Drosophila melanogaster: one gene and its partners. The protein of the gene in region 1 interacts with the protein of each later gene in a pairwise test. Each region holds a gene or a part of one and is shown on either strand. Other genes may lie near its edges.

What was found.
Region 2: the proteins of CG14546 (region 1) and CG12768 interact in a two-hybrid assay, tested with the Drosophila melanogaster proteins (one large-scale study listed by BioGRID).
Region 3: the proteins of CG14546 (region 1) and CG31224 interact in a two-hybrid assay, tested with the Drosophila melanogaster proteins (one large-scale study listed by BioGRID).
Region 4: the proteins of CG14546 (region 1) and Adi1 interact in a two-hybrid assay, tested with the Drosophila melanogaster proteins (one large-scale study listed by BioGRID).

Annotation. Positions count from the first base shown.
Region 1 is NT_033777.3:25,920,528-25,924,242, reverse strand, and holds CG14546 (uncharacterized protein), read left to right. Parts: upstream 1-1,608; 5' UTR 1,609-1,745; coding exon 1,746-2,244; intron 2,245-2,342; coding exon 2,343-3,010; 3' UTR 3,011-3,201; downstream 3,202-3,715.
Region 2 is NT_037436.4:22,908,499-22,913,500, forward strand, and holds the start of CG12768 (uncharacterized protein), read left to right. Parts: upstream 1-1,992; 5' UTR 1,993-2,074; intron 2,075-2,334; exon of another isoform or gene 2,335-2,653; intron 2,654-3,091; exon of another isoform or gene 3,092-3,257; intron 3,258-3,335; 5' UTR 3,336-3,427; coding exon 3,428-3,735; intron 3,736-4,765; coding exon 4,766-5,002.
Region 3 is NT_033777.3:18,656,268-18,661,130, reverse strand, and holds the start of CG31224 (uncharacterized protein), read left to right. Parts: upstream 1-1,821; 5' UTR 1,822-2,371; exon of another isoform or gene 2,372-2,605; intron 2,606-3,945; 5' UTR 3,946-4,147; coding exon 4,148-4,863. Other genes in the region: CstF64 (cleavage stimulation factor 64 kD subunit), read right to left, coding at 104-1,226, 1,290-1,426.
Region 4 is NT_037436.4:10,661,605-10,664,982, reverse strand, and holds Adi1 (acireductone dioxygenase 1), read right to left. Parts: upstream 1,608-3,378; 5' UTR 1,538-1,607; coding exon 1,415-1,537; intron 1,334-1,414; coding exon 1,256-1,333; intron 1,194-1,255; coding exon 1,066-1,193; intron 909-1,065; coding exon 815-908; intron 756-814; coding exon 618-755; 3' UTR 548-617; downstream 1-547. Other genes in the region: CG8003 (uncharacterized protein), read right to left, coding at 2,057-2,299, 2,360-3,133, 3,202-3,378. UniProt on the Drosophila melanogaster protein: Catalyzes 2 different reactions between oxygen and the acireductone 1,2-dihydroxy-3-keto-5-methylthiopentene (DHK-MTPene) depending upon the metal bound in the active site.

The DNA of each region.
Region 1 (3,715 bases):
CTTAGACAATAAGTTCGATAGTTATACCAGGCATGGGTAAAGCCAAATGTATGTTTCTAGTCGTAAGTACGCCAAGTCTACGCTACGAATTTCAAACCTATTTCTACTTCGCAATCTATAGTTAAGATAACATTTATACGGCATTTAATTAACTCTAAAATTAAAAATCTAAAGTGTCAAAATGGGTAATTGAATCTATTCAAGATTTTGATTTTTATTAAATTTTAACTAAAGAACCCATTATAATTTGATATTGGTACAAAGGTTTTATATTTCCAAAAAACTTACCTGAAACATTTAATTAGGCATTTTTGCAATCAACTTTAAACTGGAGAAATTAATTTAAGTATATGGTATCCTAATGAAATAAGTGTTTCGAAAACTATTAAGATTTTTTGTCCACCACTCAGAACCTAGGTTTCAATCCATTAGTAGCTCGGTTTAGTTATATTCTCTTAAACAGACTGATTTTACTTGTATGTGAATCGCGGCCATTTATCAGAAATTTAAAATGCATTTCTTTCCAGTCCTAACTAGCTATTAAGGCCATTTAAATTCCAACTCATCCGTGTATATAGCCACTCGTAATGGTGGATAAACATGCCCAAGCATCTTAAACCAAAACCCATTAAGCATAAGTAGACCATAAGAGTTAATAGAGCATAACGTTGTAGTCAATTTGGTTTAAGCTAATATTTATTTCATAATTATGTGTGAAAGCAGAATAAAGGCAACGACTTCAAGAATGTCCCGCATTTTCATTCATTTTCCTGGCACGCGCTGGAAAATCCACTTTTCAGTTCGCCCCACTGAACAATGGGCACAAGGACGTTTTTTCGCCACCACACCATTTATAATTGTTGCGATGATGTGGTATTGTCTGTGGCCTCCACTGACGTCACTGTTGGAAAGTCAACATCACAAATAAATTGAGCGACAAACCGGGCAGACAATGAAAACATATTGGTTGCTGTGGGCTCTGCAAACAGCCAAAGGTTATGTGCTTTACTCTTATTGTCTGCAAATGGCAATTTTAACATGCCAACTCTGGATATTCATACTGTTTATGTTTGTTTTGAGGCTGGTTAAATTCATGATACGCATCAACCCTTGCGAATTCACTTGCTCCACTTCCTGACTGACATTTAATCGGTTGGGCGAGCAGATGGAAACTATGGTTACTTAATGGGATGGTTGGCAAATAAATTCATTTCAGGTCCTTTCGCACAAATACTTTTCCCTGTCGGCCATCCGCCTCATTGGACTCGACGGAGGAGGAAAAATCCATTAAGAAGCTTACTTCGGATGGCGGACAGTTGCAAAATTTTTGCAATTATGATTTTGCAATTTAATTATTAACTTTTAATTGAATTGCTATTAGCGAGTTAGTAAACAATGCCGAAGTCTTGCGAAAAAAAATTTATGGAAAATTATTTACTTAATTGGTATTCATTCTTATTTACCATGGATTTTATAATAAAAAATGTTGATTTTGTGAAACAAGTACAAAACGAAGATAAATAAATATAGTTGAACAATAAATTATGCAAATAGGAAGATATAACAATTGTTTTATAGCAATCCCATTTTGGATTTATCTTTCAAAATAAATATCTGAAAAAAAACAAGCTATTTAATTTCAAAAGAGCTTACATCCACATGATGCGAAGGCAAAGATTTCATTACAATAACATGAGCCGCCAATTTTAAATCGATCTACATCCTAAAAATTCGTCAAAAAAGTCATGTTTCCAAATTACTGCTTTACGAAATCGGCCAGACAGTCGGGCTATGATGTTTTGAAAAGAAAGGTAGTACGGCATTCCTCTCCCTCAGTGACGTCAGCCGGCAGGAGAAGGACTCGCCATCGAACGGAGCGCCAACGGAATATATCCAAGTCGAGCTCTTTGCGGGACAAGGATTCGTCCTCCAAAAGCGTAGGATTCCGGGAAACACCCGTGATTTGTTCGAGTGAAAAAGACACTCGCAATTCTGGTGGCGACGATAGAAAAACGGATAAAATGACCTCCAGTCCCAGCAACGATCCCAATCGCGATCTGCAGGAATCCTTTGCCGACTTCTTTAGCATCATTCACGATAATGTCCTGGAATCGGTACAGGATGCTGTGCGGCGAATGGTGTCCAAGAGCTTTGAGCAATCCGTGGCCAAAATGGAACGACTGTCGAAGGACCTACAGAATCAGGAGGCGATGCTCAATAAAATCTATCACGATGTCACCAACAGTAAGTTCGGTTAAAAATTTTTATTAAATAAAAATCAATTATTATAATGTAAGAAGCGTAGTAAACTGTTATATCACAACTTCACCGATGTCCTTTAGAAATTGCCGCTCAGAGTGAAGCGAGCTTGAACCAATTCAAATTCGTTACCCAAATGCTCATCGACAACCAAACCGTGCACTACAGAGCGCTCAATCAAGCGAAGGCGAACAAACAGCGGCGCAAGGAAGAGCAAGATCTGGAAAGGGACCGGAAGTTGGAACGAGAACGGAAGCGGATGTGCACTTGCAAGGAGGTGCGAAATGCACGGGTTCGTAAAAGTAGAAGTTCCAGTGTGGACCTCTCGAAAAGAAGCACTGGTGGCGAGGCAAAGGAACGAGTGCCGAAAGCCCCGCAACATCAATTGTGCCAACAGCAGGTGCCATTGGTTTATCATTTGTACAATTCCAGTACGGATCAGGAGTCTACCGCCAGGAGCAATCAGGTGTCCCGGTCGTCTTCAAGGCATGCAACTGCTCCTGATCTCCCAAGACAATCCACTTCTTACAGCATGCCAGACCTTTCCGGCCGTACTTCCCCCAATCCTACGCGGTTTAATCAGAACCAACATGCTTCAAAAGTCTCTAGAAGCAGCTCATCTAGATCTTCTAACCACAGACAGGATAATATTGTCTGCCTTCCGGCCATGACCTATCCACCTTACGTCCGCAATTGTCCAATTCCCCGGCAAAAGTTAATTCGCAAAACTGGTCAGAATAAAGGCAAATAGAAGTAGTCTTTTATGCAGCCCCTGAAACAAAAATCTGTTAAGACTCCCAATTGCATTGCACGTATATAGGAATCAAATGAATTGGGAACCCTTTTCGTGTTTTGCAATTGGTAGTCTTAGCAGCCAAAGCAAATTGAGACATCAATTTTATAGTAAAAATTTTAATAAAAACAAACAGTTTTAATTAATCTAAAATGAATGCAAGCTACTGCTGTATTTATTTACACTTTTTTAAGCCTCTTAAGCTTTTATTTACCTTTTAGGAACAAACAAAATCTCTATCGAATTATTAGGAAATATGTTGATGTATGAACTAATTCATACTTATCAATAGGAACAAAACTGTTAAGCAATGGTAACAGCAACTGCATTGCTCAACAAATCGCTTAATCGGAACTTTCACTGAGTTTTGGTACCTCAACTTTCTTGAGCTCCACGCTCTGATAGTAATTGTTTTTTCGCAAGTAGCGTTGAACAACTGGTGCCAGAAGATTCTCATCAACGTTCTTGATATCCTGACGTCCGTAGACGAAAGTAGCCAAGTTTGAAGTTATAATTGTAAGTAGGGCTCCCAACATAGCGTATAACAGGAATGACATGTGATATATAGATGATCCACTGTGAGGTTCGCTATTAAAAAAGATGTTTAATAAATATAAAAGTTTTTACCGGAAACACGAAATGTACTTACTATTCTAAAGTGGA
Region 2 (5,002 bases), on another chromosome or scaffold:
GTTTTGTACGTTAGGGTTTTAGAGTGGGCGTGGCAAAAATCGATACTCGAAAATATACTTTATATGGTTGGAAACGCTTCATTCTGCCTATTACATACTTTTCAACGAATCTAGTATACCCTTTTACTCTACGAGTAACGAGTATAATTATCTTAATATATCTTAATATCTCCTTTATAAAGGTGTTAATTTTGTGCACAAAAAGTGGGTAAATTTCCCATAGTGCAATGGAAACACCATTAAAGCGTCGTGTAAAAAAGTTGGTCAATTTTTTCTAATGGTTTGTACTGTTCCGGGATGGCACAACAACTTGGAATCACATTTATAAGTTTTTTTTGTGAATTGAAAAACTAAACTTAAATCGCAAATACATATATCAATAGAACAATATGAATGTTCTTACTACGTAAAATAATAGGCAATTTTCCCTGGCCCCTAACGGAACCGAAGTCGCCCTACTCAGCTGATTTTATCCCAATCTGACACGCCCGTGACATGCTGTTGCCTATCCGAAAATATTTGTGTACCACGGATTACATTGCAGTAATGGATTTAATTTAAGCTGTGGACCGCGTTCGACTCAACTGCAGATTCATCAGCGCCGAGAACGCATACTGATAAGTCGAATCAGAATCAGACAAAGCGGTATGCTGCGTTCTGCTGAAAAAGGAAAGGGAGAGCGAAAACACGGATGGCTGTGTTGGTGCGATTGATAAATACGAGTTCATTCTTAAAGCTTATTTTTTAGATGACCAAGCGGGAGACAACAACGAGTAAACAAGAGCAACAGCAACAGCGGGCAATAAAGTTGATTGCAGCAGTGGCAAATTGAATATTTGCCAGCGCGCGTGTGTGTGTGCGCAGCCTTTTTGTTTGTGCTTGTTCGCATTGTTAAATATCCGCACCAGCAGTGCAGCCAAATGGGATGATAGATGCCGAATGCCGAATGGCGCGCGAGCAGAGCGAGTGGCTACCATTGTTAATCCGCAGTTCGTCCTCTGTGCCCCTTGCCTCCTCCCTCGCTCATTCCTGTGCCACAGCTCAGCTTGCTACCAAAACTCGACCTCGACTTCATCCCTTGCTCTCTCGGAACTCTCATGCTCAAGCTGTTGCTTCAGCTACAGCTCAGCGTACAATTGTTGCTTTGCGGAGACTGCGCTCATTGCCGGGTGCTGCCAATCCTGGGTGCAATCCGTTCATTATTTATCCGGCTGGTGGTAAGCAAATAGCGCTCACAAGCCACTTAGTGCTATCACTCTTGGATTAATCACTGGGCACGGCTCGGCGATAACGTGTCACTGCCACAAACGGAACCGCAACGGCGATAAATATTTTTCACAGCGAAAATAACACTGCCTAACAAAGTTTGAAACACTGTGACTAGAACATTTCCAAACTTCAGCTATTTCTTCAGCTATCAGTTATATATTTTAGAATAGATAAACAGAATATATATAATGCCATTTATGTAATGATTTCGATGAATAGATAGATGGCTAATATTTTACCGGTACTCCACCAAGGTGTTTTAAAGAAGACGGCTTTAAAGGTTTCCTATAATATACATTTTTTTATTAAATTTCATTTTATTTATTTTAAAATGCGTCCCGTTTGAGTGGAGGATATGTCTAATATAGTCCTAAATAGATACCAAGTAAATATCTTTTCGTATCACTCCACACACACACAAAAAGTTGAGTTTATAATTACATTATTCACGCAGCCCTCTAGGCTCCCTCACTATGCCAATTTCTTTTGTTGTGTAGTGTAATAGCATAGGATTGGCAGCCTCCGATTGTTTACACCAGCGTAGGCGGCACTGCAACAACAACAATAGCATCCTCTGCTCTCATTCTCTCTCCCGTGCTTTGCGCTCTGGAGCGGAGCAGAAAAGAAAAGCGCCATTCGCTCACTTTCTCTCCGGCTCTCTTTGTGCTGCTGCGCCAATTTGCAAGAAAACTAAGTTGGTTTGCTGTGCAGTTGTGACAATCGTCGAGGAGAGCAGCGGCGCACTCTCTAAAAGGAAGCTGCCAAGCCAACGAACGGCCAAGCGAGAGGTGACAAGTGAAAAGTGGCAAGTGGATGTACCAAATAGTGACAGGTTCACTAGTAGTAATCGCAAGTTAGCTGCCCGTTTGGCTGCAGATTTTCGTCAAAGTTCGCTATTCGTGTTGTTTTTTGATGTTTTCGTCTCTCTCGGCTGTCCGCATAGGCAATGTGTGTATACATATACGCGATTTCACACTGACAACAGGGCCGGGCGCGTGTATGAGTGTGGTTATTTTGCCGTGTTGCCGAACATCTGTATCTGTATCTGAATCTGTGGCAGCCAATAGTTGTGGCAAGGCCCTCGAGCAACTCGCAACACAACACATAACAACAGCATCCCCAATAAGTGGCAGCAACTACGCCGCATGGCAAAGCACCAACGGCCGCATTTGTTGTTAATTGAAATAAATTGAAATAAATTCCCCGACTTTGCTGCTCATATTGTTAATAAAGAGAAGCCGGAGCGACGCAACAGCGAATCAGCAGCAGTAAACAAAACTGTGAGCAAAAGGTTTTAGTTCCATTCCAGGCGTCAGACGACTTTGAGTACAAGCGACAAACAACCAGAACATCTAAGGAATTCCGAGCGAACAATGTGAATAATGTTGGTATCACAAGCAATTGGTGGCAATAACCAAAAAGAGCACATGCGTTTATTTATAGACCCCAGTGTGTTCCCATTAGTGAGTGTGTGGCGTGCTGTGCACTGCAAATGAGTTCAAGCTGCAGCCAAAGAGAAGGAGGCGTCCTACCAATACCAATCCTTGTGTAGTCTTGTTCCCTCCACAATCAGATCGGTCGCAGACCAACAGTAGCAGCTGAAATTCCTCGATCGGCACACGAAATCGTATGTAAATACTTTCCTGCCGAGTCAGCCTCTCAGAATGCCAATGTTTACAGTATTCGATTATTGTTTAACTAACAGCCTCTTATGGGAAAGTGGAATACATACATTAATTGATGGGGGAGGTGGGGGTTGGGGTTTGTAGGGTCTGCTATAAGCAGATTTCCCGTATTTGATTTGTCCCCTCTGTTGTCTCAGTTTCAGTGGGACCCATACTCCCGAAAATCAATTGTATTTAACTGTGCGTATGCGATTTCGAAAACAAAAACACCCCTCCTGCTGGGGTCATTGCACCCAAGGTGCGTGGGTGCGTGTGTCAACACTTTTGAACCCCTAAGCACCCACCCGAGAAATACGCCGAAAAGTATGCAACGAACATGGCGACCATCAGCACAAGCAACTTTAACGATTTTCTCACCTCATTTCTATACTTACTTTGCAGCGCAGCATCCGGCGACACAGGACATGCGCAGTGGCCTTTTTGGTAGTTGCATTTCGGCCAACAGCGACTGAAAGAGCAGAGAGCGGAGGAGCATGGCCTTTTCCCGCCACAACATCGAGAAGCGCCGACTCATCGAGCTCGTGCGACTCAACCCAATCCTCTGGGACTGCCGCCTGCCACACTACAAGCGTTCGGACAAGCGAAAAGCCATCAAATGGAACGAGTTGGGGCGGCTCTTCAACGTTAATGGCGAGCGGGTGCAGCGCACGTTTACTTCGCTCCGCGAGATCTTCCGCCGCGAGCTGAACCACGAAAAGATGCTGGGCACCACGCGCTTCAAGTCCAAGTGGGAATACTACGATGCCATGGCCTTCCTCAAGGAGGTCATTCGGGAACGCAAGTAAGACGACGTTTGACCTGCCCTAAAATACTACCTTATGATATATGTAGATCCCGTTTAAGGGATTTTGGACATTCCAGTTATTTGTTCTAGTGTCTTTGGAAAAAGGGTTTACTAAATTCGTTGAAAAGTGTGTAACAGGTAAAAGGAAGCGTTTTCGACCATATAAGGTACATATATATATTTCTGAACAGGATCAATAGCCAAGCCTCGAGCTCAGGAACTATAAAATACCACACTTTTGAAAAATGTTTTCATTTTTCTTGGTTTCATTTTTTTTATCTTACCGATATACCAAAAACACTTTGGCTACGCCTCTTCTGAAAAATTCAAACCGCTCACAACAATTTTAATTCCCCAATATCTATCGACAAGCAAGGAAAATTATAGAATTTCGCGTTCGCACTAGCTGAGTAACGGGTATGTGATAGTCGGGTTTTCGACTACAGCAATTGTGTTCCGATTATAATCACTGAAAAAGTTGTTTGAGCAAATTCGGAGAGAGGTGACCGCGAAATAATCACCGTCACTTAAAAGCCTAAACATATTTACATATTCAACATTTAGATTTTGATTTTACGCGATTTTTAAGTTTTTATTGTTATAAGAAGAATGATTAGTGTAAGGGATTGGGAATATAAATGTCGAGATAGTTCTCAAAATAATACGCAAGTCACCTTCCTCGGTTACAATAAATTTACATTGATTTTACTGAAATCAAATCAAATAAAAACTAGTTAAAGAAAATAACTGTTGTCTACCGAATAAGAACAATGACGCAGATAAGAATATAAATGTCTAGATAATTCACAAGGATTGTGTGCAAGTCAAATCTAAATTTAAGCATTTAGGAAGGGTATACATAGAAATTCTATTAAAACTTTGAATTTGTTTCATGTGGTCGGTCCAGAACTGACCAACAGGCAAGAATGAAATGCATGCCTGCGGATCTGCATCATAGCACCTATCTGCTAACCTTGAGGCAAGCACCCGCTTTCCAAAAAAGCTAATTACAACTTTTGCTTTTTAGATCTCGCGAGCGCATCAAGCACGGCTCTTTGGATTCAGCACCAGTAGCCACAGGCAGCAGCAACAATAACAACAACTGCGTAAGCCGCAATAGCAGCAACAACAACAGCAGCAGTGCGGCCCTAGACGAATATCAGTACTTTGCTCCTAGCGACCCCAACAACCCGAACAATCAGCCCCAGCTGCAGCCCGAACCAAAGAGTAGTCTGCCAGTGACTATTCCCAGTCTAAGTCTCAC
Region 3 (4,863 bases), 7.3 Mb from region 1:
CCTTGTGTTGAAATGTTCTTTTTATTAATTGATTCAATGTTGAAAGTACTATAGTATGCATGAGCGAAATGGTGATTTTTCATTTGTTTCAGCCAGAGTAGTTTCAGCGCTGGGTACTCTTCGCAATCTGCTCTTTGAGCATGACAATACTGACCCGTTGCTCGGAGGGCAGCTGCGCAATCTGTTCGTCGGACAGCTGCAGTACCTGCATGATGAGGGCAGCCTTCTCCTGGTCGGAGGCATCCGAGGGCAGGACTCCATGGGCGCCTAGTCTGCTCTGCAACTGCTGAGCGGCCGCCTGCTGTTGTTGTGTCGGTGGCGGCGCTTGGGGGATTCCTTGTGGCGGCGCCTGCTGCTGAGGACCAGGTCCTGCCCTTAACCTGGGATCCATGGGACGCTGGCGCGGATCGCTGGGATAGGGGGCCGGTGGCGCCTGCGGAACGCCCTGCTGCTGCTGTGGGGGCATCTGGGCACGAGCTCGGGGATCCATCAGCGGCGGTGGCACTGGATTGGGTAGAGAAGCTCGCAAATCCTGGTCCATGCCACGGCCCATCATCCTGGGATCCATCGGCATGGGTCCACCCGGCACCATGCGCAAATCGATATCGTTCGGATGGACATTGGCCGGGAAGCCAGGTCCGGGAACGGGCATTGGTGGCTGGGGAGCCTGTTGCTGTTGCTGCGGGATCTGCACCTGCTGTTGCGGAACCTGTTGCTGACCCATCATGGTGTGATTCCCCGGCCCCTGGTGCGGATTGCCGCCCAAGACGGGGGGCATTTGGTTGGCCTTGAAGAGCATCCCGAGCGCCTGCTGAGGGTCCACGATCCTCATAACCACCATGGCCTGGAGCAAAGCGTACGCCAACTGAGGATTGAGCATTAGCATCTGGCGTGCCTCCGATGGATTGCTCACGATGCAGAGCTTCATCTGCTTCATCAGCTCGTACATTTGCTCCGGCGGCAAGGAAGCCACCGTTTTGGTGATGAGCTCGGGAGCATCCTCTGGTTCGCAGGGCTCGCCATAGGGATTCTCCACCTGGGGTCCCTGAAGCAGCTGCTGCATCTCCATGCGCGACTTCTCCGTACACGCGTTGTCCACTCGCAGTGTTCTGCCGCCGATCTCATAGCCATTCAGATTCCGCATGGCACTTAAAGCCGTCTCCTGGTCCTTGTACTCGCAGAAGCCAAAGCCCTTGGGTTTGCCACTTTCCCGATCAAAGACCAGTCTGGGGGATTGAGAATAGGAGGTTTACAGTGAGATATTGCATGGCTCTAAGTAGGGAACTCACTTCAGTGACAAGACCGGGCCCACTTCGCTGAAAATCTCCTTTAGCTTCTCCTCGGTGGCCTCGTAGGGTATGTTCCCCACAAAAACCGACCGCATGGACTTGTCCATTATACTTTGTTCCTGCGCCTTATCTGCCATATCTGTTGTTTGTTATTATTTACTGCACAAACTCGACAAAATCTTAGCAAACGTTGACAAACTTGTCTAAAAAATTCCCTGCGTTCCGGCTTGCTGTTTCTTCTTCTTCCTTGAATAATTTCCCTTACCAGGGATTCATACTTTTCATATACTTTTTGGGAAATAAAGCGGTATGGGACGCAAAATATTAAACAAAGTGTAATAACAGATACGCAAGCCATTTTATTTTATTTTCTTATCTAAACACCTGAGAAAATAATTAACAGTATTGGTCTAATTTTTGGGATTCTCATCCATTGCCATCACTTAGAAACGTAGTATTTAGCAAGAAAATAGCTAAATGCCCTGCTTAGCCAAAAATACCACCACTGCTAGTGCTGGTAAGTTCCCGCAGCCCGCATACGTTTTGCAGCACTCCAACGCCTGGTGTTGTAATTTTTCTTGTCGCAAGGTGAAAACGATTTAAACGGTTTTTGATAGTGAAAAGTGCACCAATATGCACGAATTGTACACCAAATTGTAGATGAAAGTGGCGTTTATTCGTTTTCTATGCGGCAATAGACAAAAAACGGCTCGAAGTGCATGAAAAACGTGCTTGAAAATATTACTTTGTGTGTAGCCACACGCACTCCAACACACACAAACGCACACACACACAGACAGAGGGAGATAAACGCAGCGATGGCCTCGCAGTCGCACTCGCACATATAAAAAGCTCGCTTGTATATTGGAAGAAGGAGCGCACAAAGCGGAAGACGAGAGGAAAGATTTCTGTGTCATTGAACGAGAAAAAGAAGAGAAGAGAGCCTCCTGGCTCCTGGTCCTCCTGTTCCAGTTCCTCCTCCAACTCCACTTCCTCTTCATCTTTAAGCGGCCGCAGGTGCACCACGCTCTTTACATTTCCAAGGATACGCTCTCAGCCGCTCTCTCTCTCGATCGATACTGGTAATTAGCTGGCGTCCTCTCTTTGTGGAAGTGTCATTCCATTCCATGGACGAAACGAAAACGAAATCGATGGCAATGGCTGGTGAACAAAAGCGGAAATATGTGCATTTTTAAATTGTGTGTGTCTGTAATTATGTGAATAATAATCAGCAGAAAAAAATCGTACAATAAGTGGCAAGATCAGCGACATTAACGCACACAAACAAGCGCGCGTGTGTGCACACTGGAAAAAAGGTTGGCTGGCGATTGTTGTCGCTGCAAACTGGGATACTGGAATAAATCATAATGCATTTACGCACCGTGTGCTCCTCAATTTTTCGACAGTCTGTGTGTGCATGTGTGCATGTGGGTGTTGTGTGTGCGTGGTGTGTGTAACCTTTGGCAAAGGAAAAATCAATAGCAACAGACGTAGACATTTGTTTGCCGCTGTTTATGTGCAGCCCTCGCATTGTCCTTCGCCCCCAAAACAAAGAGCCACCCTTGCAGAGATGGCCAAATCCCAAAAAAGAAACAAGTGAATGTTGGTCTGCAGACAGACTATAAATAAAAGCAAAAGTTATCGCAAAAGGCAAGCAGCAAAAGGCAAACCAGATGAACGGCCAATAACTCGTCAGCAGGCTGGGTCTGGGTCGTTGCCTCTTTTTTTCCGATTCTGATTCCGTTTCTTCCTGCTGCTCTGGCTCCCCGAGAGAAAAAAGCTGCTCCAGAAGTTGTCTCACCCATCTGCAACCGGCATTCCAATCCGCCATTTCCATTGCCCAAACAGGACCTTCTAATCAGAATTCTTATGTTGCTCTACTCAGAGAATGTGGTTAATATGAACGGATTCGAATATAAGACATGGCTTTACTAAATCAATAGAATCGATTTAAAATGGCACCTCTGATTTCGAAAATGTGGAATCGACTTTAAGGGTGACTGTGTTGAGGTTGGGTCTGCTTTGTGCTAGAAAAGTTTATTGACTCTTGTTCTCTCATTTTGATCCTTTGCGATCCTCAATTATTAAATATGCCTTGTATGTTTAATTGTACTTATTTGGTAGCTTTCTAAAGAACAAAATAATTACTGGTAAACCAAAATCATTATAATCATCATATTAGAAATGCACTCGCTGTTGAAACAATTTTATTTTTATCATGCTTTTATTTTGTTGGCTTTTAAAGAAATTACTCACTACAAGAAACTTCCAACGAACGTTTTTTTACTGATTATTTGTGCTACCCCCGATAGTAAAACATTTGTGGTTTTAATTGAGTTACTTTCAACAGTTAGGATGCACGATGTGCGAAGGGTTCTTCCAGTCCAAATCACCTTTCTATAAGAAAAGTAGGGTTTATTATTAAATTATCAGCTTTATAAATTTGGATTGGTTTTGTAAAAAGACGCGTTTGTTAAGATTAAACATTACGCATTCCGTGGATACTTGATCACTTGGATCGCCGGACGGCGCATTCTTCGCATATCGGGTATCGTTTCACCGAAGACGTTGATATCGGAGCGCAGAATGTGCCCAGGGACTGGTACAGTAATTTCTGGCACCAACATTCTGACATTCTTTATATTCTCCAATGCAGCTCACCCGCGTCGAATCAGAGGATTGAGCAAGATGGACGCCAAGCCAAGGAGATACGCTGTTTTATGACTCTGAAGGGCAACCACGCCAGTCATCCGTCGCACTAGAAAGCTAGAAGCCAGGCTCCCAGAGAGCAGGAGCAGCCAGTGAGCAGGAGTAGGAGTAGGCAGGAGCCACACATAGAACAATCTAAAATCGTCATCATGGTCGACAACAGTGTCCAATGCCCCGTGTGCACATTGTACCTGCATGCGGGCATGAATCTCTCCGATCACTTGGAGACCCATCCCAAGGAGCAGGTGATCAAGGCGCTGGTGCAGATGACGATCGTTGGGAACGGTGGCAACAGCATGGGCAGCGTTCTCGCTGCCGCCATGTTGACAGGAGGATCTGGAGGAGGTGGATCCAGCGGCGGCGAAGCCAGTGCTGATGAGAAACCGGCCGTCTTATCACCCCCTTCTGGCGGCGATGTCAAACCAGTCGTGGTCAATACCATATCAGCAGCAACAGCGCCTGTGCTGCCACCAGCACCACCACCGCTATCCTCCTCCCTCGTGGCGGCCTGCTCCAACGGAGCCGCCTCTTCGACAACCAGCTCCACACCCACCTCCACCTCAGCAAGCAACAGCAGCAGCCTCAGCAGCAGCAAACCGAGCAATCCACCGATGAAAGCACTGAAATGCTCACCGCCCACAACTGAGGCGCGAGCCAGCACATCCGCACATCCCACCACGAGCAGCGTGTCCACTTTGTACCAGCCAGCGCAGGTCACTCCGGATTATCGCTTCAACCAGCAGCAGCAGCAGCCGCAGACGTCGGGCTTTGGGCGTGGTGTCACCACCTCAACAGCCGCGCTGGTGATTCCGCAGGTGCCTCAGCAGCACTTCCTCGCCAGCCATCAACAGCAGGCTCACTTTCC
Region 4 (3,378 bases), on another chromosome or scaffold:
ACACACACACAGATAGGCCGCTTTAAGCATTCGTGTGCGGCATTTTATTAATCCACGTCGATTTGTTTGTAAATAGATAACGATACGATATTGTATTGTATCCGCCGAATCCACAGATAACGACTCGATTTAATTTCAATTGTGCTTTTTCGCCGCTCCGCTCACGCACACTACCTCACACACACAGACGAGACCGCGTAGCACGTCCGAACGATCCGAGAGATGAAAAAGTAAAAAAGTGTTTGTTTTGTTTTCCTTCCTAGCGATGGCACGCGCATCGATGTTGGCTCGATACTTTCGCTGGCGCTTGGGATTATATACTTGCGCTGTTTTTTCTCTTCGGCGCTGGTACGGTCATACCGCGAATTGTACTCTCTGAGATTCGAGTTCGAAAGTACGTTTAGCATATGCAGCAACCAACTAAGAGATAAAATTCGAAATCAAGTTTTTGGCGGGGTTTATTGATATAGAAAATAGACTTCGAATTCTATATCAAAACTACGTTAATCAGCGAAAATTGTAAGTTAAACAAAAAACTATTGAAACTATTGATTATACACAGCGATTTTATATTTCAAAATATCAAACTTGATGGTAAAAGATAAGATTTAAGGTTTTTAAACCTTATTGAATTGCACAAAGTTTTCCGACTGATGCTTGATGTACGATTTGCGACAGTCCATTTCATCAGCAGGACGATTGTGTGGAGCCCAGACAGGTTCGCCCACAAAATAGCGACGAGTTCTGATAAAGTTCTAAGAAAAAACAATACAAATAGTTTAAGTTTGTATATAAGATTGTCAAAATAACTTACATTGGTATCCAAAGTAAAGCGGTGATATATGCCAGCTGGTATAATGATCAGATCTCCCTTGACAACCTTAATGCGCAACCAGTTGTCCTCATTGCTATAAAGAATAAATAGTTTTCCGTTTTAAAACAATTCCAAAAATGTTATTAGTGTGAGCAAAAACAATATCAGTAAGAATATGAATGCTTGAACTATTTAATTGGGAAAATGTGGCTGGGATACTATAAAATGCGGTGTAAATAAACAAAACTTACTCGCGAACATCAAAGTAACCGGATCCCTCCAATATCAGGCGAATTTCCTCATCCGTGTGCAGGTGTTCGGTGAAAAAGGCTTTCAACTTGTTGGCATAGTCTGGAAGGCACTTTTCCGAGCATGTGATCTGTAATAATTCGAAGTTTACCAAAGTTCGGTAGATGTTTTTCAAGAAAACATCGATCTTGCCTCATCATCGTAGGTGTAGCCACGTTTTGCCCTCAGTTCCGTGAGGGTATTATCGCTCTGGTACTCGTCCGCATTGATCTGCAAATGTGAATGATCAAGATAAGCTCGCCCCCAAGGTCACTTAAGGTTTTTAAAGTCGCAATTTCGCTTTTCACTTGCCTTAAAGTATTCCACGCCGGTCTTCTGGTACAGATCATCCAGTTCCAAGTAGGCAGGCGGATTGCGGTGGTGCTCCAGGCGCTGATCGGTTTCCTCCGTATCCATATACCAAACCTGCACCATTTTGGACTGTTTTAAACGGGTTTTCACGAGCAACGAGCAACAAATAGATTAAACAAGAAAAATTCAACTGGCATCAGCTGTTCGTTTTCGAATTTTCGAAATCGATAACAGACACTCAGGCGAATGCCGCTAGTGCTGTTAACTTAACATTCGAAAATGAATGCTGTTAGTTTTGTGTTCGAAATACTGCTATTTTAAAAACTTCATTTTTGAAATGTTCGATTTAAAACGTAAAATAACCATAATTTTAATAACCTTCAAAAGGAGTTATTTTTCTATTTTTTTTTTGTTCCATTATTACTCTTTATTATTTTACGATAGATATACGATTTTTGGGCAGTTTGTTGTATGTTTTGACTTTAATTGAATTTGTAGCGTGCAATTTTGCCTTTCGTTACTATTATCTAGTTTAATTTGTGTAGACATCTGACAGTTTGGTACTAACAATCTTTTAGTACGCGAAAATGCTAGGTTTCTGGTTTTATGTTACATTTATTGGCGTTACAAAGGAGCACAGGATTACGCAGTCAGTTTGGACAGTTCCTCGCGCAGCTCGGCCGTGTCAATGGCTCCCTTCGCTTGCGATTGCGGCTGGGCTTGGGCTTGGGCTTGGGATTGGGCCAGGAGGCGGGCACAGTTCTTCTTGTGCATGAACCAATGCAGCCGCTGGCATTCGCGATCGCAATACTGCACCGCCTTGCACTTGGAGCACTTCTTGTCCGGTTTCTCGGCGCCGCAGGTGCTGCAGTAGTTGCCCTCGTCCTGAAAATTAGTTTTCCAGATTAGAAAAGAATCATTTGATTATGAGATCATGATACCCACCGTAATCCACCTCATCCCATTGATGGCATTTCGCAGGACAGTCAGTGCTGGTGGGGCATCCTTGGCGCCAAATTGCGTTGCGATTTGCCGGAAGATGGTGCACTCTCTCACGGGAAACTCCCTGGCACATTCGCGCAACGTGTATTCCACATAGTCCAGCTGGCCCAGCTTGTTCTCCTTGAGCACCCGCTTCACAAACATCTCGATGAAATCGTTCTTGTTCGCATCGCCCGCCTCCTCGCCACTTTTCTCCTTGTGCTGCGCCTTGAATTGCTCCTCGCAGCGTATTAGTTCGGCCAAAATCCAGCCCTGATAATGGAACTTGAAGGCCAGCAGCTCGTTGAGGTCATGCGACTTCTGCATCTCCTTTTCGCACATCAAAGCCAGCGTCTTGCGCAGACTGGACAGGATCCTAAGCAATCCCAAGGACTGCACATTCAGGGCAATCCTCACGGGATGCAGGTTGATTTCGGTGACAAAGGCGTGGAACGATTTGAGTAAGCTGGGTGGTATATGCGGCTCCGTCTGCTGGCCATGCACTTGGGTGTAGTACTCCAAACTCGACTGGGTCACATAGTTGTTGATGGTCTCCACGCAGGCGTGGTTGCCCACAAAGGCGGCCATTTGGGCGGCGGTCCTGTTGACACTATTGATGCTACCCGGCTTGATGCCAGCATCCAAAAGAAGCCGGCACACATGTGTATTGCCCGATAGAGCGGCGAAATGCAGTGGCGTATAATCAGCTCCATGCTGATTGAGGTTTATGTCGGCACCCTGTGGAAGAAAAGGCGGTTATTTCATGTTTAGAGCCCAAGCGGTGGTTGCCTGGCAGATGTACCCACCATGTCCAGGAGCAGCTGCACCGCCTCGCGGTTTCCCTTGAAGCTGGCGTGGGCCAAACACGACATCCCGGTGTCGTCCACGAAATTAACATTCCTCACTCCGCTCAGCAGCTGCTTGAATCCACTGGTGTCATTCTTGGCCAGATGATCCAGCAACTGGCGCTGCACGTCGTCCAG